3 linked regions of the Sus scrofa genome follow. The protein of the gene in region 1 interacts with the protein of each later gene in a biochemical or structural test. Links are inferred from orthologs where the notes say so. Each region holds a gene or a part of one and is shown on either strand. Other genes may lie near its edges.

Region 1 (2,801 bases):
GAAATAGATTATTTTTTATAATACAAAAAAAGACCAAAAAAACAACAACAAAAACAAAAACAACAGCAACAGAAACAACCCCGTAGGAACATCTTTAAGCGATTACTCAGGGCCCGGCTGACAGTTACACGTGGGTTGCGTCAGTCCCGTGTACACACGCGTTCAGCCATGTTTAAACCGATTGCATCAACTTCGAAACCGGCCCGCCCGCCGGCGCCTGGAGAGGGGGCAGGAGGAGAGGCAGAGTTTATCATTCATCTGTACACATAGACATTTCTTCTTTAAATAACACCACGGGCGGGCGCCTCATCTGCATGTGCGGTTGGTTTGGACAAAAATATAGATATATATAATAAAATATTAAAATTACCGACGAGCTCCCCGCGCTGCCAAGTGCCCCAGTGCCAAAGTTTTGCCGGCGCCACTGGGGGCGGGGGCGGGAGCGCGGGCGCTTCCCGGAGTCACTGTGGCCGCGGCGCGCCCGGCAGCGCGGAGGCCGGCGGGCCGGCAGGGGGACGCGCGCGGGGGCCGCGCTAGCAGTGGCCGGAGGAGGCGAGCAGGGGCTCGGGCAGCTGCTTGAACAAGTTCCGCAGGGTGCTGAGCTCGCGCGACAGCTGCTCCACCTTCTTCTGGAGCCGCTCGTTCTCGGCCGTGAGCTCCAGGACCTTATGCTGCGTCTCCAGGTTGCGCATCTTGGCCTTGTCGCGGCTCTTGCGCACCGCGATGTTGTTGCGCTCACGCCGGATCTTGTACTCGTCGCTGTGCTTATCCACGGTCTTCTTGGTCTTACTCTTGACCTGCGAGGGCGCCGGCGCCGCCCCCGCGTAGCAGGCGGCTGGGGGCGCCTTGGCGTCGGCGGGGCTCGGCGTGCCGGGCGGGCTGGACGACGAGGATGTGGACAGGCTCCCGCTGCTGCCGCTCGGCACCGCCTGGTAGCCGAGGTAGGCGCGCAGCGCATACGGGAAGCCAGCCGCCATGCCTGCGGCGCCGCCGCCCGGCGCTCCGGCCTCCTCCTTCCGCTTGCAGTCCGCGGGCTCGAAGCCCGGCTCCGCCTTGAGCTCGGCCGGCTGCGGCGGCGGCGGCGGGGGCGGCGGGTGTAGGGGCGCGAAGCAGCCCGGGTGCAGCGCGTTCTTGGCGGCCCCCAGACGCCCCAGGCTCACGTAGCCGTATTCGGCCGCCTTCTTGCAGTTCTTGCCCCCGTAGTCGTCGGAGAAGAGATCGGAGAGGAAGTCGTGGTGCTGCCCGGAGGAGGCGGGCGCGGGGGCGGGCGCGGGCGGAGCCGCCTCGAAGGTGTCGGTGGCCGTGGCCGGCGCCGGGGCCTGCGGCGCGCCCAGCGGCTCCAGGTATGGGCTGAAGTCGATGGCGCGCTCGTGGTCACCGATGCTACCCAGCTCGCCGGCGGGGGGGCGCGGCCCGGGTCTGGCCGCGGGGGGCGCCGCGGGGGCCGCCTTGCCGCCGTACGCAGCAGCCAAGCAGTCCGCCTCGTAGTAGAAGTTGGCCACTTCCATGGATTTAAAGGCAGGCGGCGGCGGCAGGGGGAGACATGCTGGGTCCCAGGCCACCAGGCGTTGCATGAACGCGGGTGCCCGGGGAGGGGGCCTGGGGCTGCCCGCTCCGGCCGGCCCGCAGGTGGCGCGGCCTCCTGGCTCCGAACTGTCGCTGCTGTGTCGCTGCTGCTGCTGTTGCTTTTTCCGCTGGATTGGCCGCTATTAGTGCGGGGGCTGGTAGCTGGACCCTCGGGTGGGTCCCCTTCCCGGTCCCGTGCGCGGCTCTGACTCGCTAAAGTTTCTCCAGAGCCCGGTTATTTATAAGGCGGGCCATGGCAACGGCTGCGTCACGCCTGGCGGCCGCCCCAACCCCTCCCCGGGCACGCAGAGGACACGCTGTGGCCGCCCGAGACCCCCGGCAGGGCGGCGGTGGGGCACCGTGACCTGACTGAAGATCTGGAGCGCGCCCTTGGGGGGTCCTCCGGCTTCGGGGGCCGCCACACGCCCCCTGCCCACCCCCACCCTTCGGACTCAGGATTGGAAGCGAGAAGAGGCGCGAACCCGCCCCCGGACCGCCCCCTCTGGGCTGGAGGCTGTACTAGAAGGGAGGGGGGAATCCGGGGAGGGGGCGACGCCATCGCCTTCCCCCACCCTAAACGCGGCCGCGGCCCGCCCCCTGCTGGAGGAGGCCGTGGCTTCAAGATCAGCGGCTCTCAGCCCCAACTCCTTAAGGAGGGGACGCGCCCCAGGCGGGATCCTGGAGACCCCAAACCCCTGCTCTGGCTATTGGAGAGGTAGCCCATCTCCAAAGCCCTTCCAGGGCCCGGCCCCGCCCCTAAACTTGCCCTCGTCCCCAACTTTTGGAAGGAGAGGATTTCACGCCTATAGGGACTTCTCTCCTAAATGCGAAGACTTGTGGTTGGGGGCTTTGGGAGTGCAAGTCTGGAGCAAGCTCCACTGGAGCATCTGCCAGGGGCCCGACCTTGCCCCTCTCCTAGCCCTGCCCAGCACAGCCGCCCGCCCCCTCAGACCACACCCGGGTATTCTCCAGCCCCACCCCACTCCCACTTGGGCACCCAAAGTGTAGAAGGGGGTGTAGGTGCTAAGCTCTGACATTACTGTGTCACCTTGCGCAGGTCACTTAGCTAACCTTCAATCCTTGAAGGTCTCAAAACTTATTATTAGTTGTATTATTGTCTCCACCACAGACTCCCAAACATAAGGCTTTCTGCTCTAAGATGCACAGCAGAGAGAAGGGCCTCTCCCAGGGTGTAAAGAGGCCCAGAGGGGGCATAGCACACCCCAGGTCAGATG
Region 2 (3,752 bases), on another chromosome or scaffold:
AAGAGTGTTACTGAGATGTTCCGGTCTTACTACCCACCTAAGGCTCTCAGTTCTTCTTAAAGGTGCACAGGAAAATAACAACAGTTCCCTGCAGCTTCTAGTCCCCAGTCTAGAGAGTGAACAGCATTCTCATCTGGTCTTTGCTTCATTTCAGTTGAGAACCTTTATTTTTCACTTTGTCCAGTTGTGTTTTCCATAACCTCAAGCTCTCAGGCATGTGCTGCCAGGGTCTGACAACCCTGTACTACAAGTGAAGTCAGGTAAGCAGTCAAAGTTGATAAACACCCAGTTGAGCAGGATTTCTATTTATTTGTCACTGCTGGCCCTTCATGACCCAAAACAGGGGTCCCTGAAGGAGGATACATCCCTTCAGGGAGTACACGGGTGGTCCTTTGGAGAATGAAAAGAATGTATGTTCACCTGGATGGGTTTTTTTTTTTTTTTTTTTTTGGTCATCTTTCAATCTACTTTTGGTGGTGTTTACAACACACACAAATAGTACAAAGAAACATTTATAAATACACATCTATTAAGGAATCAATCGCAATTCTTTTTTTTTTTTTTTTTTACCGATACGTCTAGAAAGCCAAAAAGGTAGGAGACCATTGTACCTACCAGTACAAGAACCCACAGAGGTGCCCAAGAATACACAATAAACCTGGAATTGTGTCTGCGTTTACCATTTTTGCGATCAGGTGAAGCAAATCTTAGACCACAGAACCAAATTCAGCCCCATGAGATCCTATTTGTCTTTACCTAGGACTCACCAGCTGTTGTTTAAATCCCTAAGGATGAAACCACCTCTCCAAGATCAACAGTCATGATGTGCTCTTGAGAATTTAGAGGGCATTCTGGAAAAAAAAAAAATGAAGTTTTGCTCCCACCTATGTGTTTTAGGCAAGTATTAAAATGACTGAATCAGCCAACTGCACCCGCCCGAAGCAAGACTTGAGAAACTGAAAAATTCTCCAACTCACTAGAATCCTATGATGGTTTAGCCCTGTTTACACTGTTATTCCAAAATAGCAAATCAACTTTAAGGATAGCTTTATCCCAAATACTACTCAAGTAGTGACAGCTGACCAGGTTTTAACTTTTAAATACCAAGAACTTTTAGATGCAGAAATATCAGTATTTTATCTCAAAAATTTCTTTGAGCGTCCCATAACCTATCTGTCCAAAGGATAATCTCTTCAAGTACGGATTCAATTGAGTGTAGGCTGGGAGACAGAACTACCAATTTTTGCGTAACCCACCAAAGTTAAAAGCACATTTTAAGAAACCAGATGACAAAATAAACCTCAGATAACAGAAAAGCCAGACAAGTAAACCTCCTGAAGCATAAAAACACACAAACTTACTTGAAAGAACAGAGTAGCCTTCCCTTTAACACTTCCATCCTCTCTACCCAGACACCTCTGCTGGCAATTAGCTTCAGCATGTTCCCTCGGAGCATGCTAACGAAGCGCTTCATTTCTTGCCCTCCCCTGCTCCATTCAACTCGTGGTTGCTGCACGTTCACCCAACCGGTGTTCGACAGTCAAACGAAGGGTATTCAAAAGTACAGCTCCATAAGGAACCATACTATTTCCGTAAAATCACGTATTTAAAAAATCAACTGCCTTCCCTGACTACTCTAATAACTTCTGAATCCGATTCTCGGCTACCCGACCCCGCGTAGTTCTGGAGGGGCAGGAAACAACCTAGGTGGCACTCCACTAAGATAAGGTCTACCTTCGGCTATTCTGGGAACACCCTTTATCCCCAAGGGCCAATACGAGCCTGGCTTGTCACACTGCACACACAGAGGGCCGGGTTGTGGAGGGGGCACGGCGTGGCTCGCATCCCGTCCCGGGCCGGCAGCAGGGGCGCCGGGGGAGCCCGGGGGTCGGCGGGTGGCGCCGCGGCGCTGGGCCGGGGCCAGGGATGAGCTCAGAGGCCTCGCCGGGTGTTGCCGGCAGGTTGCATCAGACGCCGCGCGGGGCCGCCGCCCGCGCCGCGGGCCGCGCGGGGCCTTCCCAGCAAGCCGGCCGCCTCGGGCCGGGCCGGGCCGGGGCTCCTCTCGCTGGGGCCGCGCCCACGCGAGCAGCTGGCAGCACCGCGGCCTCCCAACTCTCTCAGCCCGCTCGCGGCCTCCTTACCTGCGCCACTAGCCCGCCTGCCCCCAGGCGGCCTCCACTCTAAGCGGCCCCGTGCGGTACGGCCGGACCCGACCCAGGCCTAGCAGCCCGCGAGTCAGCGAGGTGGAGCGACGGTTACGAAACCGGGAGCCTCCGCCCGTTCCGCCGCCGCAGCCACCGGCTTCCCCTCCTCGCTCAGGCCGCGCGCGCGGCCGCCGCCGCCTCCACGACCAATGGGAGCGCCGGCCTACGGGTTGCTCCCGCCCCCCCTGGGATTGGCAGCGCCGCTAGCCAATCGAGAGCGGCCTGACTGCGGGAGGCGGGCACGTGGCGGAGGCGTAGCCCACGGCGCTTTAGGATGGGCAGGGGTGGTGGCGGCAGCGGCCTTAGTTTCCAGGACTGAACGCGTGGGGAGACATCCTAAGACGTGGGCGACCCGCCGCTCAAAAGGTTCTGTCAAAGTTGGAGGCATTGGAGAACTGTAGCCTTGTGAAGGCAACACCTGTCTTTGGAAAGCGCAATTTTCTGAGATGATTTTTTTTTTTTTTTTTTTGAATCACCAATTTCTGTTTTGGTTTCACCACGTTCTCAGGGAGCCCCGCCTCGGAGTCGCTTCCAGGGACAGTTTCCCGGAACGGCCCACCGGGCTCGCCTCTTCGTAGGCTGGGAGGCCGACGGTCGCCTCACCGCGACTCGCGCCCTCCGGATGGAGTCTGGAGAGAAGCCCCGGACCTCACGGCAGTGAAGGCAGCTGCAAACTTGGTGAAAAACGAAGGAAGGAAAATTTTCCCAATGTGGGATTAGTATTGATGTCACTTCGGTACAGACTGTGGTTACGGAGGAAATAATTGAGTTTACCTGACTGCCATGTGCTGTCTTCCAGGTGAACAGACTGAGAGACTTGATCTCAAAAAATGAATGGCAATCCAGCTTTATTTGTCAAAGACAATTCACAGGAGAATCTGAAAGCGTATTACAACCAGGAAGCAGCGAGCTGGGTGGAGGCAGATAGATTTGATTGCTTCCTCTTTAGCAATTCTTATCGTCCAAAAACTGGAGTCTTTGAAAGAGGAAACGTTTCTTCCTCGCCAGGCAATGGTACCAGCTTTCTGCAAGGGACTGTTTCGAGGAATCAATGAAGAGATGATAAAACATTTGCACACACAAACCAAAAAAAAAAAAGATAATAAGAAGGGCTGCAGCCAAAAGTGAACGCTGATGACTGTAGAAGCACACTTGGTAGAATGACACAATATCACCAAAACCAGTACTTTTCACTTTGGTGGGCAGTGGTTGGAGTTAAAATTTCTTTGATCGCGATTTTAGCAATATTAAAACTGGATTCGATTTTGTTACTCACAGAATCATAATTTCATCCTCACCATTTCCTAATCAATTAAAAAAAAAAAAAGGAAAAAAACCTGTATAGATGTGTTCCTTATCCCCCGGTTTGCTAAACTTGCTGCCAAGCTGCTCCAATGTTCTCTGAGTCTGTCTGGGCAGGTCTTCTTCCACACTCAGCAGGTCTCCTCAACGCCAGGGAGACTAGAGTATTTATTTCCTCTTCAGCTGGTGGCTGGTAATTCTTCTACTCAGTTTACAAATATTTAGTGCCAACTATGTGCTAAGCTG
Region 3 (3,652 bases), on another chromosome or scaffold:
TTGTTTTAAAAAACAAAGGCAGTAACAAATCTAAAGATAAAACCTACGACCATATTATAATTAAATTCTAATATTTAGTTGTCATAGATCTGCTCCACATGAGGATGCTAAGGTAGGTAAGTTCTCAATAAACTTAATTCCAAAGATGGCTGGGAGTTTTTATTTGCCAGTTGGACTGACCCTGAAAATCTAAGTATGCTTATTAATTCCCATGTTTCCATGTAACCCAACCTCTGCCACCTAAATAAATGCCCTATATCAGGTTTGGATCACGTTACTGGTTCCTTATTCAAAGGACTACAAGTTTATATGTTAATATATGCAAATACATGAAATAGTACATAAGGCCAGATATATGTTCGCTTGGGCTATTAATAGAGTTGGTGAACTCTAAAATGCAAGTACAAAACTCTACATTTATTTAGTTTGATAAAGAACATCCCATGCTTCATAGGTAATAATTAATCTATTCAAAGAAAGCAAACAAGACAATTGCTGTCTAAATTCATTACTTATTTGATCTATAAGCCCATAAAAAAAAAAAAAAAGATTTAACTTCCTCTTGCCTTGGTTCATCTACCTTAGCTCCTGAATGGATATGATGGGGCATGGAGGAGGTCATTTTCTAGTCTTGTTTCCATAATAACTAGAGTTCTTCTCCCTGAACAACAAGAGCAACAGTCAAGGTTTACAGGAACATCAGTACTGAGAGTATCAACTGAAGGACCAAGTATCACTTCAGCCACTGCTATCTTTCTAAAAGCTCCTCTCAGGGCTGAGAACCTAATTTATTTTCTGTTGTATTATCTTTCTCCTAAAATATTGAGAAGAGATGGTTGAATGAATAATTGGCATTCGGTTTAAAAAAAAAAAAAACCCTATTATTATCTCGTTAGTCCATAAACATCTTAAAAGAAAATATTTTAAGGTAAAATTGATTATTAATAATTTAGGTGTTTTGAATGAAAGTCCTCAATATTAAAATTTTATAGGGCATAGATCATTTGGTGTTAAAAACTTCTGACACTGGGAACACACAATATGAAATGCATTTATAACGGAGTGTCCACCCCAGATTTTTTAGTGAATAGGATGAGTTAAAAATAATGTCAGATTAAAGCCTTTAATACTCTAGATTTTGATTGTAAAACATTATTCCCTAATTTTCAGGAGAATTACAGTGTACTGACACTGAAAATTAACAAATCCTGATGTAACCTTGAAACTGATTAGATCACAAGCCATTGTCCCCACACTATCACGACCAGTTCATGAATAGCTAATGGCCCTTAAAAATAAAAGTTGAGCTTCATGTTCTTACCTGGCACCCTCTTTGCCCAGTTGATCATGTGTACCAGCTCCCTGTCTGCGAGGTTGGTCAGCAAGCCCATCATTGAAGCCTCACTGAGGGGTCTGGTAGGATCATACTCGGAATAGATTATGGGGGGCTCAGCCTCCAACAAGGCACTGATCATCTGGTCGGCTGTCAGGGACAAGACCGGGCTGTTCTTCTTAGTGTGTTTAATCAAGAGAGGGCTTGGCCAAAGGTTGGCAGATCTCATGTCTCCAGGGGGCACCGCTTCATTCCTGCCCTCTCCATCATCTCTCTGGCGCTTGTGCTTCAACATTCTCCCTCCTCTCCGGTCTTTCCGTATCCCTGAGAATACAGACCAAAAAAAAAAAAAAAAAAAAAAAAGCCAGTTTATACTTTTTCTCATATTAACTTTCATACTACAACTATCTTCGATGCTCACAGCCCTTTATTTTATTTAAGGACATAGTTGGGGACATAGTTGTGCTGGTGTTTAACAACCAGCTGTCCAAGAGGGGGGAAAAAAAACTTCCATTGGTAGCATTTGCCAATTTCCATGGTGTAACTACTCCCACCATGGCAAATTTCAAGCTACTTGTCTGATATCAAGCAGCATACAAACTCCTGAAAATTTAACAGTAGGCTTTTGTGAGCCAGTAAAAGCTGGTTCTAACAAACCACTGGGGTGTGTGTGTGACAGATGTTATTAAAAAGTTCAACATTACAGTATTTAGCCATTCTTGAAATATGACAGCATAAAAGATTGCTTCTGCTATGAATATTATTACTATTGTTATTACTATTATTTTAAGGACCTCACCTGTGGCATATGGAAGTTCCTGGTTTAGGGGCGAATTGGAGCTGCAGCTGCAGTCTTATGCCACAGCCACCCCAACACTGGATCTGAGCCGCATCTGCAGCCTATGCTGAAGCTTTCAGCAATGCTCGATCCTTAACCCACTGAACAAGGCCAGGGATCCAGCCTGCATCCTCACAGACACTATGTCAGACTCTTAACCCACTGAGCCCCAATGGGAACTCTTGAATATTCTTTTAATAGCAAATTTAAAAGGCATTCGAGAAAAGCACTTAATAAACATCCTTATCGTCCTGTTGACTTCTTGATGGCAAGACACTAAGGGGGAATGACTTATCCAAAACACATCTGACAGCCTTTGGACCCCACCAGCGTTCAGTCAGGCTTTCATTGCTACTAAGCGGTACTTCATCACCTAAGCGACTGAGCCAAGACCCTCAACTTGTTTCCTTGGTTGTAAGGTTTTTACAAATGTATTTCCATTTTCCTAATATAAAAGTTTTCAAATAGTTGAAAATAGTTTTCCCCCAAAGATTTACCCAGCTGTGGTTCTCACTAACTAGATTATGGGGGACTGGAGGCTCCAATCTCTTTGGCAGACATTCTTGGAAGTTTGGCTCAACATCTTAACCTGGAAAAGGCCAGGCTGTGAAGTTAAAATCTATCAACCGAAACATGCATTTTAAAGGGCAAAAATTAACACAAGCTTCCATATTTTCAAAAACTCTAATCTCTCCAAAATACATCAGACAGCAAGAGTTCTTCGATTATACATAAAAGAAATAGTCAGTTTAGTAAAAAGTTAATACAATTATTTTTAATATTAAAGATAGAAGTAAACACTCTTTATAACATCACTTGTTCTCTCACTCTGAAACAAATGAAAAACTAATGTCAGAATTTTGTTCTGTTTTGTTCTAATTTGTTAAGGGATTTGAACAAATGTTCTGTGGTGAATTTTTTTTTTTTTTCCCTTTGGCTGAGCCCATATCATGTGGAAATCCCAGGGCTGGAGATTCAGCTGGCGCCACAGCAGTGACAATGCCGAAGCCTTAACCCACTGCCGCACAAGGAACTCTCATCAATAGTGAATTTTTTATGTGTAACTTTTATTCTTTTAGGTCTAGATTAGATATGTTAGAAGATATTAAAAATTTAATGAAGCCGCAGATCCTATTCCTATTTGTTCAGTATTAAACGAAGCCTTTCCCAGAGCTCTTGGGATAAGTAATAATTGTAAAGATTATTAGCACTGACGGGCCCTGAGCATGTGCCATGTGTTTTAAGCACCTTATATACACTTTACACGTAACCATTTTACAACTAATTTAGTTTTCACAATAATCCTGTAAGGTAAATACAGGAAAACCGCTGTTTTGAAAGTTTAATGAACTTGTCTGAGATCATTCTCTGTTAAGTAAGATTCAAGATCCTAGCTCTGAAAGGAAGACTTTAAAATTGTATCCAACAAAGTGGACACATTTAAGGACAGCTACAAGTAAAACTGGTCAAATGAGAACAGT

Evidence for each region.
Region 2: the proteins of CEBPB (region 1) and CEBPG form a complex in vitro, tested with the Homo sapiens proteins (2 studies listed by BioGRID and IntAct, with this or other methods). The link is inferred for Sus scrofa from reciprocal best matches to the Homo sapiens genes CEBPB and CEBPG.
Region 3: the proteins of CEBPB (region 1) and ESR1 form a complex in vitro, tested with the Homo sapiens proteins (2 studies listed by BioGRID and IntAct). The link is inferred for Sus scrofa from reciprocal best matches to the Homo sapiens genes CEBPB and ESR1.

What each region holds. Positions count from the first base shown.
Region 1 is NC_010459.5:51,721,406-51,724,206, reverse strand, and holds CEBPB (CCAAT/enhancer-binding protein beta), read right to left. Parts: upstream 1,575-2,801; coding exon 534-1,574; downstream 1-533. UniProt on the Homo sapiens protein: Important transcription factor regulating the expression of genes involved in immune and inflammatory responses. Also plays a significant role in adipogenesis, as well as in the gluconeogenic pathway, liver regeneration, and hematopoiesis.
Region 2 is NC_010448.4:43,163,509-43,167,260, reverse strand, and holds the start of CEBPG (CCAAT/enhancer-binding protein gamma), read right to left. Parts: upstream 2,342-3,752; 5' UTR 2,142-2,341; intron 1,873-2,141; exon of another isoform or gene 1,362-1,872; intron 852-1,361; 5' UTR 757-851; intron 1-756. UniProt on the Homo sapiens protein: Transcription factor that binds to the promoter and the enhancer regions of target genes. Binds to the enhancer element PRE-I (positive regulatory element-I) of the IL-4 gene. Binds to the promoter and the enhancer of the immunoglobulin heavy chain.
Region 3 is NC_010443.5:14,372,652-14,376,303, forward strand, and holds part of ESR1 (estrogen receptor), read right to left. Parts: intron 1,658-3,652; coding exon 1,322-1,657; intron 1-1,321.